Linked DNA regions of Struthio camelus. The protein of the gene in region 1 interacts with the protein of each later gene in a biochemical or structural test. Links are inferred from orthologs where the notes say so. Each region holds a gene or a part of one and is shown on either strand. Other genes may lie near its edges. The genes, in order: MYOD1 and CSRP3.

The links.
Region 2: the proteins of MYOD1 (region 1) and CSRP3 form a complex in vitro, tested with the Homo sapiens proteins (2 studies listed by BioGRID and IntAct, with this or other methods). The link is inferred for Struthio camelus from reciprocal best matches to the Homo sapiens genes MYOD1 and CSRP3.

The regions. Positions count from the first base shown.
Region 1 is NC_090946.1:20,181,912-20,198,491, reverse strand, and holds MYOD1 (myoblast determination protein 1), read left to right. Parts: upstream 1-9,093; 5' UTR 9,094-9,266; coding exon 9,267-9,827; intron 9,828-11,192; coding exon 11,193-11,271; intron 11,272-11,888; coding exon 11,889-12,136; 3' UTR 12,137-13,055; downstream 13,056-16,580. Other genes in the region: ferritin light chain, read left to right, coding at 43-258, 2,438-2,584, 3,642-4,145. UniProt on the Homo sapiens protein: Acts as a transcriptional activator that promotes transcription of muscle-specific target genes and plays a role in muscle differentiation. Together with MYF5 and MYOG, co-occupies muscle-specific gene promoter core region during myogenesis.
Region 2 is NC_090946.1:32,060,905-32,077,557, forward strand, and holds the start of CSRP3 (cysteine and glycine-rich protein 3), read left to right. Parts: upstream 1-8,901; 5' UTR 8,902-9,072; intron 9,073-12,310; exon of another isoform or gene 12,311-12,489; intron 12,490-15,721; 5' UTR 15,722-15,741; coding exon 15,742-15,853; intron 15,854-16,653. Other genes in the region: transcription factor E2F8, read left to right, coding at 1-152, 1,475-1,693, 2,542-2,674, 2,832-3,148, 3,849-4,022. UniProt on the Homo sapiens protein: Positive regulator of myogenesis. Acts as a cofactor for myogenic bHLH transcription factors such as MYOD1, and probably MYOG and MYF6.

The DNA.
Region 1 (16,580 bases):
CCGGCCCGGCGGCAAGGTGCGTGGCCAGGTGCCCGCTGCTATATGAGGCGCCGCCCGCGGCCGGGCCGCCCGGCTCCAGCGGCCGCCGCCATGGCCGAGCCGCGCTCCAAGCGGCCCCGCGGGACGCTGCCCGCCTGCCCGGCGCACCGCCCGCTGCCCGGCAGCCGCGTGAGGCAGAGCTTCCCGCCCGCCGTGGAGGAAGGCCTCTGCGGCGTCACCGGCGCCCTGCTCGAGCTCTCCTACTGCCTCCAGGCGCTGGTAAGCGGCGGGCGGCGGCGGAGAGGGGCGGGGAGAGGGGCTGCCAGCGGCTTTGCAGCCTAACACCTTGGCGTTCGGGCTTTGGCCTCTTCTCTTCTTGTTGTTGTTGTTGTTGTTTCCCCCGCAAACTTTATACCTGAAATAGCCTTGCGTGGTTAACTGAGGAAAGCCTGTGGGGGCGCCTTCCCATGGGCGCCCTGTGCGGGGGGAGGCTGAGCAGCAGGCAGGAGCATCGTGGGGATTTAAAAAGGAAATATGTAGCACAATGGCAAGTTTATTGGCTTTGGCTGCTTATCAAATATTTAAGGCTGCATATGTTTTAACAAAAACACAAAATCAAGAAACAGGATCATCGGTGCCATCCCCTCTGAAGCTGAGCCTCTGTTGAGAGTCAAGGCAAACTATACTCAAGCGTATAACCAAGATCCTCTGATTGAGCTTAGTGTATGGTATTAGTGCAGTAAAAATTAAGTATGTGGTGAAACCTCAACCTGTTAAGCGTGCAGACTGAAATACCACTGCTGATTGGTAGTTGGGCTGGATGGAGAAAGTTCCACTAGAAATGGACTGTGGCTGTCTTAGAAGTAGTTAATGATCTTTATAAAAGACTTACCTTAACAGCTATGCAGGTGTAGTGTCTTGGGTTCTTGCAGTCCTGCAGCACACTCGCACTGAGCAACTGGTTACAAAACACTCAGCCTTGACTCTTCTGTCAGTAGAGATATGAATTAATGACTCTAGGAAAAAGACCATGCAAATATAGCATTGAATATTCTCAATGAACATTGCAGTATGTACTTCCTCTTGAATGGCGCATGGTTACACATATGTGTGCCACAGCTTTGGGGCATCCCGGATGGTCATCAAAACATAAACACATCATATGGTGTATATAACTCTTTTACGCTTTCTTAGCAGATGAGCGACATAGATGAAACTCAAGTATTTTGTATTTGTTCACAATAATAATGAAAGAAGGGAGAACAGCCAGAAGTAGAAACGCTTATGAAATGCACGTACTTGTTCTTTACCCCCCTGGACAGGCGACAAGCCAGGAGTTTAATATGCAGCAATCCAGTCCAGAGGCAAAGGCTGTGCTATACTGCCTATGCCTGTTTAGGGAACCAGTAGATTGATATATTGTAGCTCCCTCAATTCTACTCTTGGCATATTCCCAGCTGCTGCCTCTCACTGTCTTTGATATCAAAGTAGTGCAGAGCCAATGTTGAACCTCTCTGGGCAACCTGGTGGCCTTCCATTGCTATCTGTCTCTCTAGTACATTCTCTTTATTCTGTCTTCCACCGTGCAGGCAAGGAGCTAGGGATCAGCCTGCCACTCCATGCATAAAATTAATTCAACAGATGGGCTGACAGATCAATGAGCACAGTTTAATCTTACATTGATGAAAGTTGTTACTTTCCCATATAGAAAAATAGAACAAGGGCTACAGTAGGTTTAGGATTTTAATACTTTTTGAAGTCGTCTTAGGCATAAGCTATGTATTGCTACTGAACTATACTGTGTACACCTTTAATATTTTCTCTATTGGAATAGCATTATCCATAAAGGAACTGAAAACTGGTGCAAAATTGTTCTTGGTCTCCTTTGGTGTTTGCCTCATCTTTCTCATACCTTTAGAAGCTAACTTTTCAATGGAATGTTGACCTGAAGGGATAAATCCTATGTTCTCTGTACTCTTGGCTCCATCAGCAAGAAGCTGGACTATGCTTATTTAATGAAAAATAAATAATAGGATCAGGCCCTTACCAGTTCCAATACCTAGAAGGGAAGAATGTTGCTGATTTTGATGCTTTCGGTAATGGTGGTGGAGGATCTGGATATGTGCCTCTAGCTATTTTTCTTTCCTAAATGCAAATCTCATAAGCAGTATCTGGCTAGAATCTGTGACTGCTAATGAAAAAAAACCATCAGTAATAGTCTCCTGCCCAGTCTTAAAAGGCAGAAAGCGTTCTAGTAGAAGTATAGAGGTTTTTTCGATTTAGGACAGTAATGACTTCATTTATTGCAGAAGTTTGGAGGAAGACCTTCAAAGTGATTAAGGTGGTAGAACGAGTTCCATTGGAAATGTCTCCTCCCTGAGTTCTGATACAGCTGTGTTCTGCTGCAAGTTCTGTCTTCAACAAACTTTAACACTCTGGTTGAATTTTGTTTGCTTAGGGTGAATTTTTTGATCAGTCCCATGTGGCCCTACCAAATGTTTCAAAGTTCTTCCTGCATCAAGCCATGGAGGAGAGAAAAGCTGCAGAAGCTTTGATGAAGTATCAGCAAGAAAGAGGAGGCCACTACTGTTCTAAAACCATCCAGGTGTGTAGCAAGCAACTTGTAGTCTCTTGCAATTAGCAATAATTACTCTAGACTCCTGCATTATATAGTTGGTGCCTCAGAACTCTCAGTATTCAACCACTATTAGATTTTTCAGATATAATTTCCCTATTATATTAGTTAACATGCTTTTGTTCCTGATTGATGCCTAGAAAACTGTCAGACATGCAGTCCTAACTCCATATGATTGCTGGTCTGGCCAAAAAGGATATGAACAATGGTCCCTTTTTTCTTCCACTCAGCTGGAGACTGCTGTTTCCAGTGTGCTGTAATGGATTATGTGGGTCTCCTTAAACTGTTTCAGTGCTAAATCAGCCAACTTGTCTGCCTTCCCACTGAAACAAAATAAAGTCATTGGCATCTGAAAGGGGTAAGGAAGGAGGTGGGAGAAACATCCAGCTGGGAGCAGTAGCTCATCTGTTAGAACATAGCCAAAGACAGAATTTGAATCGATTTGACTCGGGCTTGCACAGGTATGAAGGAGTAACTCAGTTATCAGTTTTTAATTTAAAAAAAAAAAAACCCTCCCTTGTAGAAGATTATAGGGCGGATTCTTCTCTGGCAAACTATTATGTATTATATAAACTATTTATATGTACTATATAAACTATCTATATGTATTATCCATTATATAAGCTATTATGTAAAGAGTTAAATATATCATCTTGCTGTTCCTTGGCCTATCATAGCATTTGTTGAGCTGGAAAAAGTAAAAATAAAAAGGCCATCTTGAGCAACTTTTTAAAATATTGAGTTTGCATCTATACGGATAGGTTTTTCTCATTTAAGAATATTTATCAGGCATAGCTACTGCTATTTAAATCTTGTTCCTTGAAACAAGGATTTGTGGGTTCTGGCACTTCTGTATGTTTACAGCCATCTAACTCAGCAAAAAATAACAGACGCTCCACACTAGAAGGAGCTCTTGGAAAATCCTAGCACGTTTTGTTTAGAAGGTCAGTTAAGTTGCAGGAAAATAGCAACGAATATGGTAAGATGAGCTGCTCTTATTAATAATTGTAACTATCTTTGCTTCTAGAAACCAAACTGTGAGTACGCAGTCAGTCTGATGAAAGCCCTGGAATTAGCAATGATCCAGTGGAAAACTATGACACGGTATTTTGAAGAGCTTTATGCCCTGAGCCTTGAAAACGCAGACCCTCACAGTGCAAGCACTATCAAGAAACAGTTCATTGAGCCCAAAATCCGGAAGATCAAGCTGATGGGAGATCTTCTGACCAATGCTCGCAGGCTTGACTGTTCCCAAGATGGCAGAAACAGTCTTGGCGATTACTTCATGGACCGGCTCCAGAAAGAGCTAAGAACAGGCATAGAGCCAGAGCCTAGTCAGCGCAGTAGCCCCTGCCCTCCTCTCCAGCAATGCACAGGAGCTGCAGAGGGTCTGAAGCGCCCCCAGAGAGAATCCTCCCAGCACAGGAATGGCATAGGGCCAATATATGCAACTGTATATTGCACTGCTGCAGTGCCACAGTGCAATGATGGGACAGGAGCAAAAGTGAAGCAGGGCAGGGAGGGACTGTAACACTAGGACTGCTACAGCTATGGAGCAGCTCCTAAGGCAGATCTTTATGGAGGGTGGCCTTGAGACCAGCACTCAGGAGATGCAATTGGTTACTCCTGTATCACTCCCCCTTCTTCATACCTTGGCCCTCATCCTCTGATGAGCCGCAGCTCAAAGTCTAGCCCATACCATTGTTTAAATCATAGTGAGATTGCTAGTTCCCCAGATTGTTTGCATCAATTACACTTTCATCTATGCAATTCTTACCGTAAAAGATGCTTCAGTGTAGAAACTAAAAGCCTTTAGGCCTCTCCTCTGGCTTAAATGACTGTTAGTATTAGTTAATGCCAATTATTTTTAACAGTGTATAGAACTTTTATAAAAAAAAAAAGAAAGAAAACTTTAGTACAAGGTAACTTCTATGTGGGAAAAAATCCAAAGATTAAGTTTTATATTAAATATTTTACATTAGTATGGTAACATTATGAACTCTTTAAAAGACTTGTTTTAAAACAAGGTGGATTTCTTGTTTTCTTTCTATCATAGTATCAATTTCAATAACTAAGTAAATTCATTTACCTATAACCCAGCTATTTCTTGTTGTATATGCCTTCAATATGAAGGATACTAACTTTTTCTCAATGTGGGAACAGGACAATGTGCTGTTTTTCACTGCAGTTACTTGCCTTGTTGCCTTTTCTAATCCTCAAAAAGAGGATGAGATGTAAATTAGGGGTTCTCATTAGATGTGGTTTTCACCGGTTTTATTTTACAAGTGTCCCCAAAGGCCCTAGCTCTAGGGACTTGCCCAGACATAGCCTAGGACAGTTATTTTAATTATCACACAAATCCCTGTTTCAGCTGGATAAAGTATGGTACTACTGCTGATTTTCTGTATTCCCTATCTTGGCCCCAGGTAGGTGAATAACATCCTTGGGAAAGTGCAGCATGCGCAGCTAAAATTGCACTACAGAAAGCAGCCTCTCATTCATTTTTGCATTTCAGTTGAGGGGGGCATTCACACTGCCAAACTTAAAGCCTTCACTTTAGCCAGCTGGGTTAAAGTTCAGAGGAGTCTAAATTCCTTCCAGTCAGCTCCTACAGGAATGCCTCTCCTTCTCTACATTGACTAACAAGGTCACCTAGGAAGAGCAACTGGCTAAATCAGCTGCCTGGAACTAGGTTCTTAAGTCGGTATATACCACAGCTTTTAGGCAATTTGAGTTAATCTTTCAGTGGAACAAACCCCAACTTTTATGTAATACTGTAATCAATGTTTCTGTTGTTAAATTTGAAAATAAATTCAGTTCAATGTAAGAAATAATGCAGATGCAAATTTTTAAGTTTTCCAAATATGCATGCTAATGTTCTTCTCCAAGAGACTTTGCCTATTGACAAAACTGTGCCAGAGTCTATCTGCCCCCAAGAAAGTTACACAAGATAGAAATATACACCACAAAATGAAAACAAACATATTGGAAAACTGCATTAAGGTAAAAACACTGCACAAGGAAACACTAAGTCAATTTTGACTTCTACACACGGTAGCATTAAGTACCTATTTCTGTAAAGCCACATTAGCCCACCTACTTTCTGCTGATGTTGTAACACAGGACAGACAACTACAATTCAGATGTTTTCCCAATCCCTTTCTGTTAATGATTCAGCTTTATGGTGACGGGTGGGGAGGGAGGAAATCACATTGAAACTTCCCCTCTATGCTCCTTTTTAAAAAAAAAAAAATTACTGCAATGTGCTACATGAATGGTTTGAAGCACTTCCAGCAACATACTGGATTTGCCTATGTTGGGATGACTGGCAGTAGTTTAAAAGATATTTCCATCTGGGCTAGATTGCAACACCCATCCGCATGCTGAGCATACCTTATTCAACAATTAGTTTCCCTGACTCTAACTCAACATGAATAAGAGCAATGGAATCCATCCTCAGTATTAAAATATAGCTCATTAAGTATGAATGGAGCAAAAATACTCATTGAATAATAAACTAGTGTCATAAAAACCCTTCAAGTATTACTACTGTTTCTACAACAATCTTCTACTTTGACAGTTCTTAACCTTCTGAAATATAGGTATAGCTTCTTCCACAGTTTCCAGCACTTAGACCCTCTCTCTTTACCTTAACAGAAGTCCAATGTTTAAACTTTACAGTGCACAACTTACATACGTGGCAATATTTCAGGGAGAAAGAAGCAGCAAGTTTCTCAGAGATCCACTCCTCTGGTCTTCATCTTTGTGGCAAAATGTGTTGGCACGTTCTCAGAATTTTAAGTCCTTTGTTTCTCACTTTTCCAAAACACCTTCTGGGCCCTCTGCCTACAGAAAGAATTCTGTTAATTTCAGGTAGAGAAACTCCCAATCAGTTATTTTCCCAATCTTCATCCTCTGAAAAAGAGAATTAAATCAATTACTATAGATAACCGAAGTTCTTTTTGTGCATATGCTGCTTCTGCTGAGGGTGTGCACATGCTCACGCATGTGACCTCAGGGACTTTGTTAACAATACCTGTACATCGTGTATAGGATGAGTGTCCATGTATGCTCCTCAGCATAAGCAGTACAATCTGCTTCCCCCGTCTCAGCTTCCTTTCCACTACACCCTGAAAAAAAAAGGAGATGAAGGACGAAACGTGCAACAGGTATATAGCACCATTTAAAGTAACCATAAGAATCTGCTTCCTCTGCTGAATGCGTGCTCATATGCACACCCCTGCAGGTGTAATTCCACAGCAATGCCCAATCCATCCAGATCCAGGATCTGGGAGGCTTAGAAGAGCCATAGAAACACCAGTACTGAAATAGAGCATCCAAATCAAAAGCTTTGGAGAGACCTAATCTCTACTGAAATGATGAGTAACAGCCACAGTGGCTTCCAGACAGACACTTAACAGTAGCATGTTTCTAAATTCCGCCATAAGCACGATCTAAGGCTGCACAAATGGGGCCCTTGCTGTTGCCTAGTCTCAAAATGAGGAATTCATTAAAATACCTAGGGGAAGACCATGCTGTCCTTCATCCTCTCCACTATGGCCACCCTAAGTTGAGAAGAACACCTGTGGGTTTTGTTCTTTGCAAAGACTCTCAGACTCACAATACAATGCAGCCTCTTTCTGGACCAATCCATCTTTGGGAAGAATACTGGAAAGTGAATGTTGGTTTTGGTAGCGACCGTGGGGGATGAGTCTTCAAAGGCACCTTCAGTAGAAGAACACTCCATGCAAACTATACCATCTGGTCATGGCTCTCTCTCCTGACTTTTTCACCTAGGTGACAAACCGAGATATGCTTTTACTAACCCATGTCTTGGGACACATGCATGCTGCCACAGGTTGAAAGAAGAGACTCCCTAGAGCGTGCAAGCGCTAGACTGCATTGCATTGGCAGTTACTTGAAGTCTTTGTGTATCACTTGTCCAAGTCCCAGCCTTTGTTACTGCTTTGCCCAAGGTAACCATTATTTGCACAAGTCCCAGAATGCCTTTTTCTGGGGTCAAGTATAATCTAGAAACACACTTAAAGTGGCAGAATATCCTACAATGCTGTGTAAACATCACGTAGAATTACCTTTTCCACAAATGAAACAAGTAAGCTACAGAGAGATGAAGTGTCTTGAGCCAAGTAACGTGGCCAGCGCCAAAACCAAGCCTTGATACCCAATGTACGCGTTTAGCTGTTATAGCATATAACTATTTCTCACTTATACTTAATATGCATTACTGTATTATTTTCAATACAAATTGTTTTTACGGTGTTTTAGCTGTTCAGGAGAGATTTTTCAGAACAGCAAAAGCTGTTCATTCCTTCTGGATCAAAGAAACCTCTGTAACAACAGCGGAGGGTTTCCACAAGGTTGCTACTCTGCCTCTCAGAGCAGCTGGCAGATACACTTCTCAGTGTGTTAGGGTGGTCAATAGCTGATCTCATTGGGACGTATCACTTTTCAGCATTGGATACGGTGAAACAACAAAGTTGTACAGAGTCCAAAATATCTACTTTTTCCTTTAAATAAAAATTTGATCTTTGGGGAGTAACGATAGGACGTGACTAACAGTTATCTCTGCCTGTACGTGAAGACGTGTAAGCAAGTAGACCACGGGGACTGCAGACTGGGAAACCAAATCACGTAACTAGCAATGAACACACCGTTACAATGACCCGTCTGAAAAGTCACAGGCGCAGGAACTGAGGACTAGGTCACCAGTTGATATTTTACCTTTACAGACCCTTCTAAGCTGCCCTTTAGCCCATTGAGGCCAGAGCTTTGCCTTCGATTTTAAATAAGTCAGATTTTCAGCAGCCTCTGTAAGGGCAGAGTGGAGATTAATCTTAGCCCATGGCAGATAAAAACACCCGTAACTATTTTAATCATTAAGTTAATGAAATCACGCAGCTGAATTGCTGGAGTGCTTCCACACCACAAAAAGAGCTCAATTTCTCGGCTCGAGCGATATTCCCAAAACAGCGCAAACACTCTAGCAAGACCTGAGAGACGTTACCCCCCCCCCACCCCCCCAAAACACGTCCCGTGTCTCTAGGGCCGCGGCTCTGCCATCGCCGAGTTACCTGAAAACAACGCACCCTTACCGCGCAAGCAACCCGGGCCGTCACCACCTCAGCCAGCCTCCGTCTCTTCCCGGGCCGCGGAGCAAACGCGACGGTCTAAGTCCGTTAACGCCCGGGGAAAGCGGGCCTCGACGGGCCTCGCCGACGGGCGCACCGACCGCGGGGCCCAGCGCCCCCCGGCGGCCGCCGCCCGCTCTCGCCGCGCCTGCCTGCACCGAGGGGCGGGCGGCGGGGCGTTAAAACCACACGCGTTTGACACCGCCCGGCCCCCGGGATGGGGGGGGGGGGGGAGCCGCGGCCCCCTCCCCGCCCCGCCCCGTCCCGCCGCGCCGCGCCGCCCGGGGGGCTCCGGCATAAATACGGCCCCGAGCGGCGCTGCCGGACCGGCGCGGCGCGGCGGCGGAGGGGCGGGCGGCGGCAGCGCTGGTGGCCTCGCCTGGCAGAGGGGAGCCGCGGGGCTCCGCTCCGCGCCGCGCGCGCCGCCACCGGCCGTCAACGGCCGTCAACGGCCCGAGCGCGCTTTCCCGCCCTCGGCCCCGGGCGGCGCCGCCGCCGCCCCCATGGACTTACTGGGCCCCATGGAGATGACGGAGGGCTCCCTCTGCTCCTTCTCGGCCGCCGACGACTTCTACGACGACCCCTGCTTCAACACGTCGGACATGCACTTCTTCGAGGACCTGGACCCGCGGCTGGTGCACGTCGGGGGCCTGCTGAAGCCCGAGGAGCACCCGCACCACCACGGGCACCACCACGGGCACCCGCACGAGGAGGAGCACGTGCGGGCGCCCAGCGGGCACCACCAGGCCGGCCGCTGCCTGCTCTGGGCCTGCAAGGCCTGCAAGAGGAAGACCACCAACGCCGACCGCCGCAAGGCGGCCACCATGAGGGAGCGGCGGCGCCTCAGCAAGGTCAACGAGGCCTTCGAGACCCTCAAGCGCTGCACCTCCACCAACCCCAACCAGCGCCTGCCCAAGGTGGAGATCCTCCGCAACGCCATCCGCTACATCGAGAGCCTGCAGGCGCTGCTGCGCGAGCAGGAGGACGCCTACTACCCGGTGCTGGAGCACTACAGCGGCGAGTCGGACGCCTCCAGCCCCCGCTCCAACTGCTCCGATGGCATGGTGAGTGCCCCCGCCGGCGGACAAAGTCCCCTTCTGCGCCTCCACCTCCGGCGGCCAAGGGCGGTGGGGTCCCCCCACGCCAGCGCCCCTGGAAGAGAAGGGAGAAGTCTCTCAGGCGCTCCTTCCTGGGGATGAGAAGTTGGGCAGGTTTCCCTGGGTCCCGGGGAAAGCTGCTGGGGGACCGCTCTGGGAAGGGCGCCGGGAGCGCCGAGAGGTGCGAGTCCTGCCCGCGCTCCCGGGGCATCTCCGTTTCCATCTCCTGTACCCTTAGCCCTGCGTCCCCTAGGGACAGCTGTGAGGGAGGTCCCCCCTGCCATGATAACTGCAGGGGAAAACTCACAGGGGAACTGCTAAGTCTGGGTTTTCTTTTCTGACATTAGTCCTGATAAGAGGAGCACGGTCTGAGCAACAGGAGTTGCTTTTCTTGACCGTTATGAAAAAGGTTCTCCCCCCTCAAGACATTTACCAGCAACAGGAAGGAGACCCCAGGCTTTCACCTCTGTTTGTGCATTATGGGGAGAGGGGAGAAGAAGAGCGAGTGCCAGAGAGGGTGTCTCGTCACCTAATTTCTTTCTTGGGACTATAGTTTTAGACTCCGTGGCCTGACTCGAGGATGGTGGGATGTGGTGACTGGAGTACAGGATAGCTGAGATGAGAACCACAAGAGCACTTTTAAGACTTCCTGAGTTGGCTATGTTCTCTGGTGGGGATAATTATTACTGAGCTGAATATCTGGGATTGTGAGATAGCTGGCAGATCGGGGAGAAAATTTACACAACTGATCCCTCCTCAAAATACAGCCTTTTTTCTCCTCTCGGTAAGAGCCATGTAACTGTGGGTGGAAGTACCAGAAACAAAAATACTGGTCAGAATGCTTGCTTTTTTTTCTCTATACAAAGTAATAGTGGGGAGAGAAACCAAAGGAAATAAAAAGGCACAAAGGTGGACTAGTGGGTTTTTTAAAGGAATTCATGCTTGGAAAAGTCTTCAGAAATTAAACTGAAAAAAGACTTTTCCCCCCTTGGTCTCCCTGCTGCAATTCGAAGGGCAACCTCTGATTAGAACGCTGGAAGACTTCACTTCATTTGAAAAGCTACAGCATTAGTACATTAGTTACAACAATGGTAATTTTCCTTTAAAATAACTATGCCACATAATACATTCTGGGGGGAATTTCTTCCTAGCAAAGTTAAGCTCTGCCTCATTCAAAAAAACTAAAACTTGGTGGTGTTTCAGCCAGGACTAGAGAGCTATGGCACAGACTAGGGTCTGAAGTGTGAAGTTAAATAGTTACTGGGGAGGAAATATTTGAGGAAAATGCTGTCCCCCCACTGGTGATCTCACGCAGATTTCTCTCCTTTCCAGATGGAATACAGTGGGCCTCCTTGCAACTCCCGCAGAAGAAACAGCTACGACAACAGCTACTACACGGAATCACCAAATGGTGAGTATTTGCAGTAACGGCAACGTGAAACATAGGGGTAGAGACGGTCAGCGCAGCAGACTTGCCTGTGCCTTCTCTGTCCCCGGTTGTTTAGCAGACTCCGGCTGGGCTTTTCAGCCAGCGAGCTGTCGATGCTAGTACATGTATAGCATTTCCCTCTAGATGCCTTTGCAAATATGGGAATATAGTATAGTGGCATTTCCTACTTTGCAAACATAGTGTCTGGATAAAAACATATTGGAATATATTCCAACAGTTTTCAGAGTTTAACTACATTTTGCATAAGGATTGTTCCAACCGGATATCACTGATCCAAACCATGGAGAAATTGCCAATTGAATTCAAATCTTCCATTCCCTTTCTATGGACTGAAGTGAAGCCCTGCACCCATCCTCTTGAAAAGTATCATACCTCAGTTGGGCCTTTTTTCCCATTCTGCAAATTATAGTCTCTGTTTTCTGATAACTGGCATCTTTCACCAATATTCCTTTCCTCAATCTTAATATGCTCACAGATATGCCCTGTCAGCCACTGGTTGGGGTTCTCTGAAAAAACTACAGCCTACTGACATTAAATACCCATTGACTAAATTGATCACCTCTTCTGTCTGTCTTTAGATCCAAAGCATGGGAAGAGTTCTGTTGTTTCTAGCCTTGATTGCCTCTCAAGCATTGTGGAGAGGATTTCCACAGATAACTCCACATGTCCAGTCCTGCCCGCAGTGGAAAGCGTTGCTGAAGGGAGTCCCTGTTCCCCCTCCGAAGGAGCCAACCTGAATGAGAGTGGAGTCCAAATTCCTTCCCCCACCAACTGCACCCCGCTTCCCCAGGATAACAGCAGCAACCCTATCTACCAAGTGCTATAAAGGCAAGTCCAGCTGGACTGCAGTGAAAACAAACTGTTACATGCAGTAAAGCTCCAAGACCTGCCTTGTAAGACTGAAAAGACTTCTCAAGACTTCTTGTTCCAGTCCTAAAATCTCTCAAAATTCCTTCAAGTACATAACTCTTCAAACCTGTATTACTTCAAAATACATCTAGTTATTTATTGGTTGTTAAACTCAAGTTATTTAATGTGTCTGGAGATAAAATTGCATACCATGAAATGGCCAACATTTAATCTGGGCTTTTGAGGAATAGGAACCTCGCTGTTGAAAGCAGGGGAGAAAAGAAAGCTACAAGTCTCTGGAGTAAAGGCATGACACATGCTTTCTATTACCCCTGTTCTGGCCAAAATAAGGTTGTGGACCACTTTTATAAAACTTTTTGTATAATTGTAAATAAGAGTTGCTTTGCAAAAAAAAAATAAGAAAAAAGTTAAAAAAAAAAAAATATTTAATGTTGCTTGGTTTGTCGTGCAAAACTTTAACTTTATATATTTATACCATGTGGTTGCCAAGAATGTTTTCAACAGTATTCTAAATAAAGACCCTTATTTATAAAATCCATGGAGTTATCTTGACTTTCATTAGAGCTTCTAGAATTACTTGCGCGTTTAGGAGTGGTGCTAAGATCGCTGCCTTGGCAGGAAGAAGGTACAGGCTCTGATTCAGCAAAGAATCAAGCCCATGCTTCAGTTGTGCTACTTTCCATTTCTTTGCATAAATACTTTGCTGAAAAAGGGTGTATTTTCTTTATATCGTATTTTGGTACCCTTTCTGAACTGAATGTTAAACATCTGAGGGCATTATTACGTAGCTCTGCATGGTAAATAAGCAGGTTCTTCTTGCCCCTCAAAGGTTATGAATACATTGTAGGACTTGAGCTCTTAAGACTATACACGAACTAGGAATCATAGTAAATGAGAATCTCCAAATTCCTCGCAGCTACACACTCTTACAAGATCAGATACTGCACTCTTATATGTAAGTCCATATTTTCCATTCAAGATCTAATTTTCAAGTGGATGTACCATGTTCATACATTCTCAGGTAACTGAAAATAATTACATGGGATTTTGTGTCATAAAGTTCAAGGTATAGATCTCAGTTTTCCTAAAGTTCAGATTGGAACTTAGGCCAAAGATAGGAAGCTTTAATTTGGATTTGAACTTTCCCCATCTCTGGCAACACTACTCCAGGGATTTGCTTCTTGTTTGGAGCCTTTCTAAAAATAACCAGGGGGCTATGTTTCATTCAGTGTATATATACGTGTAACCTTGCAAGCTTGCCATGAAATTGAAAAATGTTAAGCCCTGAACAGATTGTCATTGATAAGTAACCATGAGGGCCTATCTGCACATTTGGACAAGAATAACTAGCAGCTACAGCCCGGTATGAAACAACCCATTGCTTTCACGTCACTGTGATTTATGGCTTTTGTTTAAACATCACAGTAAAAAAAAAAAAAAAAACATCATCAGCTCTAAATACGTTGGTGACAGATCAGTCGTTATATTCTCTCCTAGCTGATTATTAAAGAGGGCATTTCTGCTACTCTTACCTCTTAAGCAGGAAAAAAAGAAAGAGGGAACAGCTAATTCCATGGGAATGTCTTCCACTCCTTCAGACTTGGATCAGCGCTCCCCGGAGAGGCACGAGCGGCCTTGTGTTGGACAGAGCAACGCGGTTGCTTCTCCGCAGTCCAGCAGTAACGGCGTGCCGGGAGCTTGCTGCTTTCCCTGAGGTCGGAGCGGCAGGAAGGCAGCAGCCGGGGGGGTTCCTCCCTCGTCGCGGGCGTTTGGGACCGCTGCCAACACCGAATCTGTGCGGAGGCGCAGGCCCGGCGCCCACACATCGGAGGGGTTTCTGGGGCAGGGGCTGCCCCTCAGCGCCTGCATCGAAGTCAGGTGCTGTAAAGGGATTCTCTCAGGGGTCTCCTGCAGGTTTCACTGTGGGCAGAAACACAGTCCAGGCAACACAGGTTGAGTTACCCCTTCAATTTTTCAGTTAAAAGTAAAAATTAAATGAACTCAAGAGTGTGCCAATTCATTCTAGTGTGAATCAGGAGCATCTCTACTAAGGTCAGAAAAATGCCCGCATTAGTTTGACTGAGTCAAATCACTGACTTCCAAAAACTAAATACAGACTGTTGGAGCCTCGCAAGTCAACGCCCTCACAAATTAACAACAAAGTTTTCATTGCCTCCAGCAAAAACTTAATCGGGCCCCAATGCAAAAGATGCTTTTGTGAAATACTGTACACTTTTCTCTCTGCATACGCACAGGTGGCACAAAGCTTGCGCCTGACTCACTAGAGCACCCCACTTCTGCAGGACACGACGAAGTCCCTTGCCGGAAGGCTGGCACAGCACCGTGGGCGCTCGGGGCGTTTGCGCTCAACAATGTACATGCAGTTCCTCGTGAAGTCATGTATATTGCATTTCACTGATTTATTTTAGCAACCCAAGTTTCCACATACTGATGTTAATGTTACAACAGAGAACAAGCATTTAGCACATCCCAGAATAGATGGGTGGATAAAGAAGAAGAAAATATTCATACATTTACTATGCAGAACCCATCTTTTTCCCGTTGAGGTCAGTGAGAAAAATCCACTGGAGCAAGGCCAAAGGGCATCAGTGCCGAGAAATACACGGTTAGATTACGGCTACACTTATTTTTAAACTTAAATAAGGAAAACGCGTGCCCTTCCATGTGCAATTTCTTGCTGTCTATTTCTAAGGTAATCTATTAAAAACAAATGGCTGAAGTTACTATACTCCCCTGTGCACCATGAGGACGGCACGTTACTGACAGAAGGACATCCCAGTCCGTCTGGATTGCAAATGCTTCAGAGCCAGAGACGTTTGGATTCAGAGCTGCAGTTCAGACGGTAACAAGGGAGCAAAAGCAGAGCTGAGGAACAGATACAAGACTGGCCCAACATTTACCAACTCGGCTCTTAAAATCGGCTCCTAAAGCTGTATTTAGGCATCGAGGGCTGACCCTACGAGACAAAGAGCAGTCGAGCTGGGGCCAGTGAAACAGCGCAGCTAGTGCTCCACGCACCCATAGCTTGAAATCACCAAATCACACACACAGCCTCAGGTTCAATATTCAAATAATTTAGCAGGACGGGGCACATGAAGAAACGCTGATTTAAAAAAAATCGGAATCCCGCACGTGGCACCGACAGGCAGAGCGGGGCAGAAGCTGGGCACCACGGCACACCAGCCGCTCGCGGACCCAAGCTGCTTCGCTAAGGCAGGAAAGAGCCTCTAACTAAACGCACGTTTGAGGCTTTCTGCAAGGGATTTTACAACTGTCTGATACTTCCCATGGAACGTTACTTCCATATGGAAAGGCATATAACTACGAATAATTAGAGGAAAGTAGCTATCTTTGAGCATAAAGATAAATGTGTAGCTTAGGCACGTTTGATTTGGTTTGGTAACTTAAGAGCACCACACAGAAGCTGCGTGACACAGCCCGTATTATCAATTTATCTTATTCAAAATGGTGCTAGAGATGAAGTGGAACGGAATAGATCTTTTCTTCATTTATACATGTTAAGCGCTTTGATTTTGAAGTTTTGTCATGCCATTGACAAATACGAATGAGAATGAAGTGGATTCTTTTTCTATTTTCAATATTTTACAACAAATAGAAGTGCAATAAAATTGTTTTTTGAAAATAACAACGTTGAACACCAACAACTATCACTGCTGTACACCAACAACATTATCATTATCACCTCCAACATTACTGAAGCTGCTACAAACATTTTCCACATACCGAAAATCAGATGTTAGGTAAAAGAAAAATATAAACTATTCCTAGTATATTTTTTCTTTTTTAAATATTTTATCACCTGTCTCCAGAAAGAGTAAGTTTGCAGCTGCTTTGTACCAGATGCTGCTCTTCTACAACCACTTGTCATTTTAAACACAAGTTACAGACTTTACAAAAGCTGCGGAAGGTGGAAGGAAAAACAGAATTAGTGCTATTTCTATAAGGAGAAAATAAGAAGCACACTACATTTTGCAAAGAGGGTCAAACAGTGCAAACCTGCTCATTTTACTCATAAAAGTGGTACTATCCCCTCCAGAAGAACTACATTCACAAGTTAACAGGCAAACGCTAATGCCTAATGCTTCTCAGCTAGCCCTCCCGGAATCTCTCAAATCACTTAATTTTCAGTAGATCTGCTGCAAAATCATGACTTTCTTTCCCAGCTCCGTGCAGCATCCTGCCTTCTCGAAGGAGCGCACCAGGGAACGTCACCGAGGAGCCCACTGGGTCTCCTTGCAGCATCTGAGATTTCCGGGCTGACGCGGGAGCGAGCAGCCCCTAGTGTAACGCAGCAGCCTCCAGGCAGTCCTGTCTCACCCCGGGCCCACGGGAACGAGCTCTGGCTCCGGACACCCAGA
Region 2 (16,653 bases), about 12 Mb from region 1:
AAGATCCAAGAAAATCTTTGACAGCTAACGAAAAACAAACTGTAAAACCTGAATCTACATCACAGAAGTGCCTTAAAAGATCACAAGCATTACAAGAGAATAGTCTGATTAAAAGGTGTAGGAGTGATGACAAAAGCCTTGATACTTCTCCGGTAAGTTAAGTTATTTTTTTAAATCCCATTTTATAGCTTAATGATGGTGCCACCTACTCTTCAATGTCATTTAGGATCCTATCAGATGATCTAAAATTTGTAAATTCTTTGTAAAGCCTGACTAGGGAGTAATCTTGTAAACACTTAATACTTTAGTTGACTTTAAGAGCATTTGTGCTACAGACTTGCAGAAACTTTACAATATGAAACAACATTTCATGTTGGCATTTGAGAACACATGTTCTTGTACCTTGGAAGAACAATTTTGGATGGTATGAAAACAGATAAAAGACAAAACTGAACTGTCTGCTGTTGCTTGTTGATGCAAATGTTTTGGTATTTTGAATAACATTACACTTGAAGAGATGACTGATTTGTTGAGCTTGCTCATGCTTGTTGTTTTTGTTTATTTGGTTTTTTTATAGTGAACATCACATAATCTTTGCTGGTATTTGCAAAGCACCTGGCAGAATATACAGTATAATGCAAATCTTTGAAAGGCTAACCTAGAATCAGGCTGTATTTTTCTTCTTTCCCACTCCAAATTTTTATTTCAGAAAAGATGTCTCAGTGGGTTCTGAGGTTAGTCAAAACATAACAACCTCTCCCCAAAACATTATCACGAGACTTAGCTGGGTATCAGGATATTTATGCATTCATTCTGTGGTAGTTCAGGTACAGAGGGGCTAGCAGCCACTCTTAGCTTTAATGGTGTTCGGAGGGAAAGTGGACATATAGAAGTTGATGGATGCAACGTCCCAAAATTCTGGTACCTTCTGAATATTTTTATCCAGTGTTGTAGGCAGCCAGTGTTAGGCTGTCGTAGTCTTAATAATAAGGTGTAGGAAGAGAATAAGACTGGAGAAACTGGGCCTGGTTTACTTTCCACCCCTCCCTCTCAGCACTGGGCTCAGTTGCTGACTGTTTTGTTGTACCTGCAAATTATTAGGCCGCTTTAAATTGTGCGTGGCAAAACAACCATGACACGTTATCGGTGCGTGCTGTGACAATGTCAATGGCATTAAACATCCACTAGCTGCAAAGGAGCAAGAGGGGATAACATAGAAGCAGTTGTCTGTACTTGTAACTGCAAATCTTTATAGCACAAACTTGAGAATCAGGAGAAAAGAGAAAGTTTGTTTTCTAGATTGTGTGCACAGAGAATTGTCATAGAAATGTAGCTTTTCTGACAGCCAGAAGTATTTACCTTTGTAATCTTAACTTTTTAAATGTATAAATGTTATTGTAGACATGTAATTGAGGTTGTAAAGTCTGTCTTTTACAATATCTGCCTATGTTTTTATGTACTTTTTTTTTTAAAGGGAGAATCCATTAAAAAGGAAAAACCACCTTCTAGTGGTTTGCAGATGAATGATGAAATGGACAATTTCCAGGAAGAGAGACAAAACAAAGCTGAAAAATTAGATCAAAATGTAGCAAGTTGCTGTGACCAGTGTAAGAGAGAAGGTATTCCAGAAGATGAGGACAGAAGCAAAACTAAACAAGAAATACCTGTAGCATTTGCCATTCCTGCTCATGAGGTAAACTTTCTGTCAGCATATCCTACCATTGCCGGAAAAATGCCGCTTTTAAGAGAGCTCTTTGCCAAAGAAACAAAAGTATAAAAGCTACATGTCTATGGATTAATTTTGGTTGAATTATTTTTCAGTGTGCTTTTCAAATCTTACTTACTGGAGGACTCTTCTATTTTGCATTAAGTACACAAATAAGAGGAAATGAACTGACTGGAATGAAGACGGTAACCAAGACTCACTAGATAAAGGCAGTGTTGAGATTCCATACCTTCCCAGTCCTTTGTTTGCACATATATAGTTTCAAATACTTTCATTTTCAACAGAACCACATAAAGCTTTTTATATTTTAGTAAAATTTAGTATTCTGCAATTTGACTTACTGCTGTGAAGAACTTGATTAAAGAACATTTTTGCCGACAAATACAGAACTTGTAAATGCAAATGGGCTGTCTTCCAGGATTTCTCTCACGAAAACGCAATGCAAGATTGAGGTGACATGATGATTACTGGGTCCAGATGTTTCTTTTGTTAGAAAAAAGTATTCGGTATCGAGACTTCTCTTGTGTCTGGTCTAATTGTAACGTGTTAATCTGGGATGGATTTCCAGCCCCTTACTGAGGATGTCAGCTGGGAATAGAGCCAGCTGACTTCTGCAGTGTGTGGCAGTCTTATTTTAAGAAGTGCTGCTTTAAGTCATCTGTGTCTAACTTCAAGCAGAAGGTAGTACAGGGCATGGAATATAGGATCCTGCGGATACAGAGGATAAAGAATTAAGGGCAAGACAACAGAAATGCAACTCTGGGGAAGGTTGCTTATTACATCTTTGAGTACAAGTGGTTGTCTTTCTTTTCCAGACTTTTTTTCCATCTGGCTATCTTATTCCTCTTCCTCAATGCACCCACCATGGCAACAAGGCAGGCTTTTCTAACAAAGAGAAAGCTGGAATATGTTCATTACAGCACACCACCTACAGCTCACCCATTGCTGGTGAGTATTAAATGAAATATACATCTAATTCTCTGGCTTGAAGGACTGTGGGCTAGACTTACCCTACTGAGGTCAAGATATCACACTGCATTGGTTTGAGCCTGAATTTTTTAATTAAAAAAATAATTATTTTAATCTTTTAATTTTTCATCTTTAGGTGTGATTCCAGTGACAGCATCTGAACTGAAAGCAGTTAACATTCCTGCTTTTCATATAACACCCTTGAATATAATGGTATCACCAACTTCTATAGCTGCTGCGCCTGTACTGAGTAACTCCTGTCTCAATTCAAGCAACACAAATTCTGCCCAGAATCCAAGTTCTTCAGTTCTGAACTTTACACTGCAACATTTAGGACTAATACCTACTGGTGTGCAAGTTCCCACAAATCCTGTTCTTCAGCACACGCCCGTCTCTTCAAAACCAGAAAATGTTAGCCATAGCTCAGAAAACATGAATTTGAAAGAAGAGAAGGTAAGTAAAAATATATTGCAACTTCCTGACCATGAGTTAAGTGGGAAATACAGTGCGGTAACGCCTTCACAACAGGTAAAAACTCTCAAAATTGTTTCCATCTTACTTTTTATTTATAATTCAGCACTGCCCCCAAAAAGCTGGAGTAACAGGCAATGAAGGCTAGCTTATGTGGAAGTGGAGCCAGTTTGGAGGAGTTGAAGGATGATAGGATGTGAAGAGACAACTGTCTTAAAGGCAAAATTTTGTATAGATTTAAGATGACACTTATTTACAAATTCTCCATTTGTTACTTCATCTTTCTTTCTCGTTACTCTCCTAACTTATTCTCAAGGTCTTGCATTTCACGTTGTCTTTTTTAATAGAACAGACTTAGTAGAGGATTTAAAAAAAAATTCCACAGGAAATCTGCATATTTATGTGATATTATATATTGCCTCAGATATGTTTGTACTAAAAAAAGGAGACAGGAGGGGATTACAGAAACAGATTTTCATTTTTAACTTTTATATATATTTATAAAAATATATAAATACACACACATATGCACAAAATATACACATATGTATAAATAAAAATAGATCTACTCTTCTCAGTAAAGAACTGTTAGGTTTTTAAATTTCAAAAAAATATGGAAACTTAAAGCTAGAATTCACTTTTTTAAAATGAAAGTAACTTTCTCTCTTTCTCATGTTTTTAGCTAAGTGTTCCAAAGGAACCCCAAGAGCTCCAAACAGTGAAAGAAAACTTTTTCCGCACACCAGGAGGGCCAAACACAGTATCTTCATCTTCTGGAAATTCAGATGGTACTGATGGAATTTCTCAAGGAACCTTGTATATTCCTCAAAGGAAACTTGAAGTGTCAGAAGACTAATTTTGGGATATCGTGTTGCTGAATGTGTTAGCAGGCATAATTACTGATAACACGCTGCATGCATCTTGGATTGCATGATGGACAGTGTTTGTTTTGGACATGTATTGGCAAGACCTCAATACTGGAATAGCCTTAATTAATGCTTTAGAATTAAAAGCAGCTCTTAATGAGAAAGTTAATGTCTAATAATTTTTTGAAAAGGCTTACCTAAACTATCATAGCAACCAAGTTATGTATCTAATGTTTTCTGTGTTGCTTTTCTGCTATGCAAAGTAAGCTGAAATTAACTTTGTACAGAAAGGTACAGTCTATCACTCAGTACATATTTTGCACAAAAAAAGTACTGTGAGCATGTATATATTTTATGTCTTAACAAAAAGGCCATAGTTACAATTTCTTTTGTGCCTATGTTCAATAATGCTCTTTTGTAAAGTTAGTAAAAACAACAAAAAAATGAAATCTTAATCAAGTTTATGTAAGTTAAGAATTATTTATACTGTATTTTTAATCAATTTGTTCAGATTAAACTTACATCAAACTGTCAAATTTTGACAGTTTTTTGTTTAATCAAATTAAATTACCAGCGTTAAGTAATACATTGTACATTCACTGGAATCTCTTCAATTTTTTGGCCAGACAAGGATATCTCTATGTTCTGAAGAAAGAGAAAATAGTATTTCATCAGCAATAGATTTAAATTAAAGTAACTAGATTAGACTTTCTGACTTATCACTAGAGATTACATCTACTAATACCAATGAGTAGAGGAAGAGATTATTTATGAGGTTTGGAATTTAAAGTAACCTTGTCACCCTAGAGCCTTCTGCAAAATGCAGTCCAAATGTCACAAAACCAAGACTGCACATAGTTTATATAGTTACATACAGCTTGAAACTAATCGACCACTTCAGTAACAATTGAAGTTGAACGAGTTGTGAATCCCGCTTCCCAGCAAGCACAGGGCAGACCAAATAACAAACACAAAGACCCCCTGCCTTGCCTCTGTTCTCCTATTAAACACGGAATTTTTGAGCCAGATGCAAGCTCCAGCTGGCGCATCTACCAGATTATACCACTAAAAGTGTGGAGATTCTCTTGACGCTGCTCAGGCTTCAAGTCTACAGTAAAGTTGTCAAAATCTTTGTCCTAAGGTTTATAACACTGTTTGTGACCAAAATCACACATGCAGTTATTGAAGCAATGTCATTCAGTGTCCCAAACACTGTAAAGTCTTGCAGACGCAAGAAATGCCACAGCTGTCTTGGACATCGACATGCCCTTTCCTGGGGCTTCACTGATGCCCTTGTACAGGAGAAAGGTGTTGGAATAAATTGCAGCAGGCACGAAATTTCATTCAAATTCAAATTTGATCTCTGGAAAGTCAGAGAGTGACTACCAAGCATTTTTATTCTATTCTTTTATAGAGGTGAGTTAGGTAATTATGTGGAATTGACTAATGTTCTAGTTTGCCTCAAAAGTAACAAATAATCAGAGAAAAGGAACTTCTAGCATTATGAATACATTATTTTACAGAAAAAAACATAATTGTTTCATAAAGAAATACATAATTCAAAGCCTTCTCCCTCCCTTCTTTACTCAAATTCCTCTATTCATTAAATGATAATGTGATTTTTCTGCAGGAGAACGCCTGAGGCAAAACTTCAGTTAAAGCTGCACTTCTATTTTCAGTCCACTTTCTGTTTTAAACTCTATTACCTACCCTAATGGAAGGTCAAAGTGTAAGACTCTCATTTATCTGTCATAAGAGCCTGCTGCTGGAGAAGCCATAAGACTTCTGCTCCATGAAATGTCCGTACTCTGATTAACCATAGTCTACCTGGATCAGCTGTGAAGCAGGAGCTCATACCAGCTGTATGCGTGGCTTTGTACGTGGGTGTGTGGTGGTGGTGGTTTTGGGGGGGGGGGTTGCTGTTCTCTTTTACTGTGCTTTACAGGTGGAAGAGTGAACATTTTAACTTAAACCTTCAATGATGAGGGAAGGAAGAGGGGAGGAGGAAAGCCTCATAGAAACAAGGGTCTGGCTTCAGCTGAGAGGCAGTACTGGCAGTTTCTGCTTTCTAGCTGTAAGACCAATGTCGGCTTCCGAGTGTTGTTTCTCCCCTGTTGCAATTTCACATTAAACAGGTTAAAGTTAAACCAGCTGAATTTAAATTCAGATTACAGTCTCCTATGCTGAAGGAGCAATGATGAAGCCTCGTACAGCTCACGTTCAACTTAGATGACCGAGAGTAACCAATAAATTAAAGAAAAATCCTGAGTATGCACCTTCCCACGTGAAACGTGCCTGTCTATATCCAAATTAGGACTGGAGAAAGGCTTCATAGACTACTAAAGCAAAGCCCAAGATTCAGACTTGAACTGAGCGTGAAACAGTTTAGTCTTACTGTTAACTGTTTTAATTAACTGCCTTACTTTTCAGAAATACAAAATTATTTGTATAATACAAAATAGATCTGACAGAATTGGATAACTATTAAAATGCTGCTGCATGAGGGGAAAAAGAGTAAAAGCTGGGAAACGGAGAAATTCTCACTGCAGCAGTGAGTAGACTTTTTTTTCTTCTAAGTGATAATTACTCAGAGATTTACCTTCCTCACACCTTCTTCTGTGAATTTTACTCTAGTCAGACCAAAGGCAAAGATTTATAGAAACTTCTTGAATTATGCAGAGGAAACAAACTTCAGAACTTTCATTTCTGGACATTGCAGCAGGCAGAATAAGAAGCCATAATAATTAGATTTTTGAAAAAGGGTCTGGCCACAAATTCTATGCTCTGTTGTGAAAGGCTGAATGTATATCCCAACTTACTCTCGAGTGTCCCTTAGCTCCTGTCAAAATACAGTTGCTTTCTCATGCAGGCTTTATAATAACCAGCCCTTTACTTCATTCTTGTTCATGTTGCAGGCTGAAATGCTACCTTTTCTCTCCTCAAAGTATTGAATTCCTCAGAAGACTCAGCTTTCACTCTGATTTAGCTGAGGTTTCTGCTCTTCCCACCTGTCTAATCTATTCTTAAACGTGACCCGACTACTGGATTTACTCTGTTGCCAAACTCTAGGAAAGTTCCTCTGATCTTCAGGCTAGCTTCATTTTTGATATGCTGTGTTCCAGTTCTCCAAGCAGTACTTTTAATCCCTACCTTTGATTTACAGAAAACATTACACTCCTGCACCACAAGGAATGTGAAAATTAATGCATCTGTGCACTCCAATTGCATATTTCAAGTCTGCTTCTTCAATTTCAAGTCCTGATAACCACAGTGGACCGGGGATTATATGAAATTCACAGCACACAATAAGCATTCAACTGGTCCTTTCACCTATAAGGAACCTGTAAATAAGATTCACCTCCTTATAGCGGGGATACAGTATCCATGATAGCACAGTAGTACAGAAATGAAGCTACAACCAATACCAGGAATCTAAAGGCTCTACCCTGCCTTTATCTCTTAACTTCTCTGACAAAAGGAAAACAATTACTGAAGTTCTGGGGAAAAAAATCTTTCTCCACAGATTTCCCTGCCACTTCCATAACCAGTTGGTTATGGTACAGATCCATCCAAATATATGTTCTAACTAGCCTAATCATCATGTGCTAATCATCAGCTGATGATAAGAGCGAAGATCAATGAAGATTAAGCTCTCGAGAGCATCCAGGCTCCCAACTTCCAGCTGAGCAGGGGCACAAACAGAAAGTGGTTATCAACCTGCTAGTGCTTTCCTGTAGCCTAGTGGCAAGCTCAGTCATGCCCCAGTCCTTCCTCTCGACCATCTTATTGGAGATGTTCATACCATACACATCTGCAGCTGCCACCGCACCATTTAGCCTTATTTAACGTAAGCAAGAGAGTTCCATGAACCACCCAGGAAGAATGAATGAGAAGAAATGGGGTCCAAGACTCTTCTGCTCAATAAAAATTAGGCCTCTAACCTTACATTAGAAACCTTTGCTGGACTCCATAGTCAAGAGATGTTAGACTCTTAAGACTTAATTTTCAAATTAGCCTCAGTGAATGGGCCCCTAAAATCCTGAAATTTCACATACATTTGGCATCTAATTTCCTTACACTCCCATGAAAGTCCCAGAGTTGAGACCTTCACTATCAGTCTTCAGTTTGTAACCCCTAAGTTCTAGGTGATTGGCCCTTTCACTCCTCCCAAAATCCATGAAGAATGAAGTTTCTAAATTCAGAAGTCCCTCCAAAGATGAGAATTACCCTCAATCTTTAAAGCACTTAAAAATAAACAAACAATAATCTCTGTAAAGAAATGAACTTTAAGCGCTTTACACTTTAGCCCATCTCTAAAATGGTTGCAATATCACGCATTTGCAAGGGGCTCAGCAAGGTTTCGTAATTGCTTATAGATGCTATGATTAAACGTGCCAAACTCTACACGTATTAGCTACCTGTCTTAATGCTTAAAAAAAGTACAAAATTAAAAATTAGAGTGACAAGCATAAGTCGCCATAGTCTAAGACTTCTAGCAGATATCAACCATTTGTAGCTATCAAGTTATGAACTACTTAACTAAATAAAATTCTATTTGGTTTAAGACTGTTGAGTCCCAGAGGTTCTTACAATGAGTTATTGATTATTTTTATAATTATTTTGTTAGATTATTTTTGGCAATGATGTCATCATATATTACTAAATCCTCATTTCAGGAACCATTATTTTATGATTCATGCTTAAGCAATTTAATCGCAATTCTAAAATTTCACTCTTTATTTGATCTGTTGGAGGGCTTTTAAGAATGCCTTTAGGTGTAATCGGAGGGGCTGCATTGTTGTCCACCTACTCACGAGTGGACGTAAGGGAACAAAATGCCAGGCTTCTGTCAGATGTTATTTTCAGCTCAGTGATAGCAATGGCATTGCTCAGATCCCTGAAGCAACCTCTCCCAGCTCCCTCCCCTCCCAGCTCATAGGGCCAGCAGTGGTGGCCGCTGCATTTAAAGAGTGCAGGAAGGCTTCAAGTTAAACTCTGTCAGAGGCCAAAGAAAATAGGAAGAAACATCAGCCTGCTCTGGTAAGTGTAGTACATGGGGTTCTGCAAGACTGTTTGATATACGGATTTGGGTTTTTTTATTTTTTCCCCCCCAAAGCTAGTAGAAACAGCTTATTGCTTGACTAAGAAAAATGTGCAGGTATAGCACAGAAATGGGAGTCCTATAGAGCTGACAGCAGTATTTTAGGTTTGCAGTAGCTAACTGAAAAGAAAGATTCTTCTGGGCTTCTAGGCCTTTACGGTAGCTATTAGTGTTACAAGAACGGGGCTGTGGAGGGTCTCATCTCTGAGACAGGCATTTTTACCACATGCAAGACTGGATAGCATAGAAATTGTGGAAGTGTTTAGAAATTTTGTTACAAAGCTGAAGAATGACTTCTTCCACAGATACTCTATCTTAATATACGAGCTTGCTAAAGTATACAAAGTTATATGCTTTCAGAAGTTCTCAGTAAGAGAGTCAAAGCATTCTGAAACAAAAAAGTCACTAAATATTTAATGTCTAATTGGTTTTATATTAAACCAGAAGGACATTTCTACATAACCTCCACCTCCAACAGAAAAATCACAAATAAAAATGCAAGATGACAGAATTCACATGCTCATCACTCAAGCGTTAAAAGGTAGCATGACTGGCCAAGTCTTTAGGAAAAAAAATAGCTAAAAAAAAATAATTATCTGCTTCAAAAAGTTTTCTGTCTAAAGATAAAACTGTTTCAAAGAATGCAAAGAATGAAGCCTTGCACGTACTTAAAAGAATTCTGAGTCTGATCTCAATCATCCCGGCAATATTTCAAAGTCCATAAGAGTTTTGTTTGGGACTAGAGGACTTAAGACAAGGATAAGGGTGTAAAGAAAGATATTGTGGAAGGAAAAGCTGAAGTTGATAGCACAGGATAAGGTCTGAGGAAAGAAACAGATCATTTGGACAGCAGGATGTAGTTTCCCACAGCCTTGTGAAGAAAACTGAACTTTGTGTTTGAGGGAAGGGTGCTTTTTTAAAGTCAGAACTAAGTATCTGGTTCTAGTGTCAGCGTATCACATCTTTTGGAAACGTCATCTTAAATTTCTGCAAAGGTGTTCACCAAAGAAGTTTTAATAGAAATGCGTCATTACCATGCCAGAAAATAAGACAGTAGTGGGAAGGATACATAGTGACAAAAGCAAAAGATTCAGAGGCAGCACTGAGTTCTCCTGTCAGCTTTGCCCCTCACTTGCTTCTTATCAAGACACTTAAAATCTTCTGTTTCGAAAGGACTAGTGTAACTTAACATAACCAGTGTCAGTCAAAATCAGTATTTATTTTTCTGTGTCATTGTGGAAAATCCTGTCTCTTGACCCCTATGTGCTGGTTTACTGCAGAAATATAGAAAAAAATTGCTATGCGGCATGAGGATAAAAGTAATACACTGACTAATTCATAAACCCAAACTTGTATTTGTATCCATAGCCCACTAAATGTATATGACCATAAGAAATATCACTATAAATACATAACCATGTTGTATAAATGAGCTCACTCTTCAAATGCAATCATTTTCTCTATTGTATAACTATTCTGCTGAGAAATGATGCTTTCTGCAATGGATTAGATTTCGACCAAAACACCTTCAGGCTTTTTGAGATGCAGTGACAGGAACTATGCTTTGCACTGCAGAAACATCAAAATTAAACGTGACATAGTGAGAAAGAGAAAGAAACCATAGCAGTATTTAATTGATACTTTAAAACAGAATTGGAGTGTGTTAAAATTATTTTTAAGTCAAACACAGCTTTTGCCAATGAGGAATACCACACTTTACACTAAAACTGACAGGAAAAAAACATTAAATAACCTAGAAACATCTGGAAGTATTAATCTTCTTCAAAAGACACTATAGGCAAATATTCTAGGGCATCAAAAATAACAGCAAGGGCAATTGAATCTCAAGACACTTGCCTGGCACCACCAAATATAAGGCAAGACCTATGGGAGATCCAGGCTCTCTGGAGTGACAGCTGAGGATAAGGCAGGATACCTGACAATGTTGAATATGGTGCAAGATACCTATGTTTACACAGCCAGATACCACTCTATTTCTTCCATTAAAGCTATTGAAAGTTCTCTGTAAAGGAAGCTATGTAGTGTTATCCCTGGGGTGCTGGTGAAGGAGTAAGACTAAGGAAGGTTGAACGAGTCAGAGAGTCACATGACAGGTCAGCAGTAGAGCTGTGATTAGATATCAGGAATAAAATCCTGACTGCATTGACATCTCCCACAGACTTCAACTGGGGCCACAATTTCTAATTTCTAGTCTCAAAACTCCCATTTCAATAGTGACAGTCATTTAATTTGATACTATTGCTTATTACAAAAGGAAACAATCTTCTCATGCTTTTAACAGACTATAGACTGAACAGTCAGCTAGGACTAAAAATAGAGATGCAAAGCACATCTTATCCAAGTCCTTCTGGTTCAGCATTTCTACCATCACAGGATTCAGTGACCATAAAGACCTACATTTCCCATTCTGCTTATCCACTTGAAAGTCATCGTATACTACATTTGGTGCTCTGAGATACCCTTTCCAGCCAAACAATAAGTGATTTCTGCATTTTCTATACATACGACTTGAGTTCTAGACCATCAAACACATAAGCATTTAGAATGAAAAAACTAGTGTTTAGGAAAAAAAACACCAGCATTTTTTTAACAACTTTTTCACCAGCATTGCACTACCTAGCACTATGTTTATCTCTTTTAAAACCACTCTATGAAACCACATAAAGCCAGTACTGCACCCACTTCCCATTTAGATCAATGGATATATTTTTGGACTATATCCTTATCAATAGTACTCTAATTAGAATGACACAAACCTCTATGACAGTTATGTGAATATAGCAGCTTTATATCCCAATTTCTATAGTAAGACGAATAGCCCAGTAGAACACGCTTTCTTGCGGCTGTGCAGAGCACAAACACCTCAAAAGCTTCTTTACTCTGAAGCTAGGCTATCTAGCAGTGTTATGAGCGCTAAATAAAGCGAAGCACGTATCCCTGGCTGCACATCTGATGCCTATAAATTCTACTCCACTTAATAGCTGCATTTTGAAATGAAGCAATATGAGCTGCCGAATACTACTGAAGCAAGTCCAAGAATGCTTCTCCAGCTTAGCAGTACCATAAATGCACACCAGCATTTGGCATTGCTAATATTCAAAAGTTCCTCTATCATGTGTAATATACATAGAATGGTCTCACTCTACTTCCCACCAGATCACCAAATCTCTGGAGAGGTGACCAAGCAAGAACACAGACCACGGACTTGTCCTAGTACCTCAGCCAGCTGTTGAGCCAGCCAGCGCAGGCATCATGGCATACGTTGCCATTCTTAGGCCAGTATCCTCATGAGAACGTTTTTACTGTGACTTCTTTCTCCTACAGCTTCCCATCAGGTGATGGCAAAAAACATGGAAAATGTGTATGCATGCCCAGTCACGTTACTATAATTAGCCTCAGGAGCAATAGTTCTTTTAAGAGCTCTAACCACTGCCTGTAACAGCACAATGTTCACTATCAAACATTATCAGACTTTTTCAGAGCTAGTATTTTTTTCCTTCAGCTAATGATGTAATTAGAGCTAGTTTTAAACAAGTACCCTGTTGCCACACTTAAAGAGACTTTGCGCATCCTTAAGGGGACCTAAAACTGCGGAAGAAGTGCTGCACCCACTGCAGCTTGAAGCCAGCTGCTTGCCTGGCAGCCAGCTACGGGTGCTACTCCAGCTGGTGCAGGACTTCACTGGAAATCCACACCAGGCTCTCACAAGAAACACTCAGCACTTTCCCTGGGCAGATAGTTGTGACAGTTCAGGAGATGCTGTATTGAATTAAGGCTTAAGTTCCATACCAAAAATCAGTGAAAATACTGGCTTCAGAGGAATCACCCCGTTGAACTCCAAAGGCAGGAACATACTAAAAATGTTAATGAACCAATTTTGTTTCAGTTGAAGTTGGTCAGGCTTTCTCTCAATTTCAAGGGGAATACGGCGAGTGCAAACCTCTTCAGGAAAGCATCATAAAACTAACTTTTATCTCCCATTGCTCTTTCTTCTCTTAAAAGATTTGAAGCATTGCTTTAATTATTTTCAGAAGAGAAAAAATGGCACCAATACCGAAATATTTGAAAAAAGCACAGAGGAGAAAATATAAAATGGCAGAATAAGACATTAAGATTTTACCTAAATGAAAGATTTATTCCTGTGCCTTCATCTCTCTTCCAAAAGAAATTTAAGAAAGACTTTAACAGTGCTTTTCAATAAAGTGTTTACTGAGTAAGAGGGAGCAACTTTATAGCTTGCTCTTGCATGCAATCATTTTCATTTCTACTTATTTCAGCCACATCAGATTTTTGCTTTTCACTCATTACATTGCAGATAAATAGAGTTAGAGGCAAGCTGAGTCTTCTTCCATGTCTGCATCATTACACTTTCCTAAGTGTCAGAATAGCTTCTCCTCAACAGCCTCCCAAGAGAACCGTCAGCGTCAGAGAGATTAATGATACAGTTGCTTTATGACAGCGGAGGACTGGACTGAGCTAGGGAAGCTGGTTCAGCTAAGCATAAAGCTTCTCCACAAAGAGAAAGAGGTACTATCTTGTATTAGGATGACAGGTATACTGTCTAATGCAGGTAACACTCACAACAGTGAATATGTGTGTGATTAAATGGGCTTAAAGATAGACTCATCACCAGAGTACTAACGTGGATATGTTTGGATACACTAATAACTGGATTGTTATCAAACACCGATTGTTAAAACATGCCTGTGTTGCTGTATCTTCAGTACTATTGCTTCAGCATGAGCACACACTCCTAAGCTGCTGTCCCATTTTCCTTTTTATGAACAGATAAGGCTTTTATTTCAATTTTCAGCACTAGTGACCAGAAAGAACTCTGCTCAATTTCAGGTTAAGCTTGCAGAGCTGGCATGTAGAAAGTATTCACTTTCCTTCTGAAATTCTGCAGATTTGGTACAGAAGTCACTGAGATGATGACAAATAAGGGACATTACAGTGTCTAATGTATAGTCCTGGTAAACTTTAGGCTAAAGTTCAACCCATTTAAAATAAAAGCTGTATTACATCACTACCGTGATAAATTTCCCTCTCTCTCGCCTGACATTAGAAAAAAATTCTCAGGTAGTAAGCTTCATTCAGTGTTCAAAATCCTTTCCTTACTTCAGGATATCTCATGGTGAACTTAACCAAGTAAAAACAGAACAAGCTGGCTTCTAAAGAACTATAATAAGAAAGTGACTGACTTTCCAAGAAGGATAAGAAAGGTCTGAGCCAGGAGCTTGGAACAAGCTGATAATACGATGTGCAGATGACAAGATGACATTCCAGCCTTTCCAGAAATGATGACTCAAACAACAAGAAAACAGAAGGGCAAACTGCTGGCGCTGTGGTTGTTTCAGCTGCATGATAGCATGGTCATCAGGAAGGGCAATGAGCCTGCAGTCAGGTGACCCCAGTTCAGCTCCTGGCTCTTCCACTACCCTCTTATGTGACCTTGGGCAACTCACTTCAACTAATAGTAACTGAAATAGTAAGCACTATTCTTCACTTTTTCCTCAGATGTTTATATTTTAAGCACACCTGACAAACATGCCTTAAGCACCTTAGGAAATTATCTGTTATTACCTCATAATGGTTGTGTAGCACAGTGATCTTGCGGCTGTTTTACGAGGAATTCAGAAAAGCAACAACTTGCTTTTATTAAAGCGTCCTCTGAAAAAATATGGTACGTTTGTTTAAGAACAAGGTGAAATTCTTCAGGTGTGAATTGTATAATATGACATCATACTCATACAGAAAACTGTCTTTACACACGTCACTGAGGATGAACCAGCACTTCCTGTAGAGAGCTGTAAATAGTAGAATAGGGTGCCTCTTGACAGACAGTCTTAGAATATTGTACTGTAGAAAAATTAATGCCAAATTCTGCTCACAGTTTTGCTTTTAAAATTCCACTGAAGTTTCAAAGCATTTGAAAGCCTCCATTAGATTTTGCGTCACAACACAAAACCAAAAACTTCAAATGAAAGCAAAAAATCGAGGGGAAAAGGCTGGGATACAGGAGAGGGCAGGACTGAGAGTAAACGGTTATCACTGGAAAATATATCCTAGAGCTGCTTCTCCAGAAGAGGTCAGAATGACCCTGTCACCTTTTTATTGAAACACTCCACATTCATCTAATGCATTTACCATCACAGGACAATGAACACTAAGGAGTATCCTTATTTACAAAGGAAGGTCACACAGGCCACAGGATTGAAACCGGGGCCTGTTCAACACCAGGCTAGTACCCTCACTGCTAGATTAGTCTGCTGCGCTGCACAGTCCCAGCAACAGGGAAGACTCTAGCCCCCTTTCCTCAGGGCTGCCAGTCACACAGAGGAGAAGAGGTCTTGAAGTTACTGTTTCATCTCTCTGCTACCAGAGAGCCCACAAGTACTTTGGTGCAATTCACACAAGCAGATCCTGGCCTGGGGACACCCTGCAATAGCCATTGCAGGGTGCTATTGTTGCACCCTGTGTAGCAGCTGGCTAGAGGAAAATTAAGCTGTTCTGTTTAAAATAATTCACTTCTGCTATCAGATTAACTTCTGTAATTTGATATTCTAGGTTACACTTCATATATAAGGATGCCGAACTGGGGAGGTGGAGCCAAATGTGGTGCCTGTGAGAAGACAGTGTATCATGCTGAGGAAATTCAGTGCAATGGAAGGAGTTTCCACAAGACATGCTTCCTCTGCAGTAAGCTGGGCTACACTGTTTTAACTTCACAACATCTCCATAGCTTCATACAAATCTTATTTTAAAGCTAGTAAATTTACTTTTGTGCTACTTTGCTTCCAAGCAGAAAAACAATAAAGAAGCTTAATAGTTTCTTTAATTCAAAGTGTTTGCTCATCGTACATCTACAGTGGGTCCTAAAAGCCATTGAGGATCTAAGCAATATACAGCGGAAACACCTAGTATCATGCCAAGTTTGACACAGGGACAGTTTCATGAGATATATACATCTTACGTCCAGGAAAGCTCAAAAAGCAAAACAGTCCCACTTTAATCATCCTACTTAAGTACAACACAATAAGACTGATTGTGGTACAGGAGTCTCTAGAAACCTTAAGAGTCATAAGAGGCCGAAGAAAAGATTCTGAACATATGTGTGTCACATATACAGCTTTCAACCTGGGAGGAGGAAAAAAAAGCTTACCAAGCTAGTTTGCTGAACTGCAGTTTGTTTAAACTGAATTTCGTTAGAAAGTCAGTTTTGAGGGAATATGCTCTTCTGGAAAGCTGATTAGTTAACTCCCAGAGGCAACATCCACTAAAGATGAAACTTGTTTCCCAACCTTTCAGTAACTGAAGGAATGAAAATGACCATATCTGTTTTGAGAAGTAGCAGCCAGTTTTCTGAAAGGCCAGTTTGCTGCTTCGTAACAGCTCTTAATAATCAAGTCCTATTTTCTAACCCTTTACCCCCGAGTAATATGTCTCTCAGGCTCCTAGCTTCTCTCTTTTCAGACATATGTTCAATGGGCTTTGTTAGG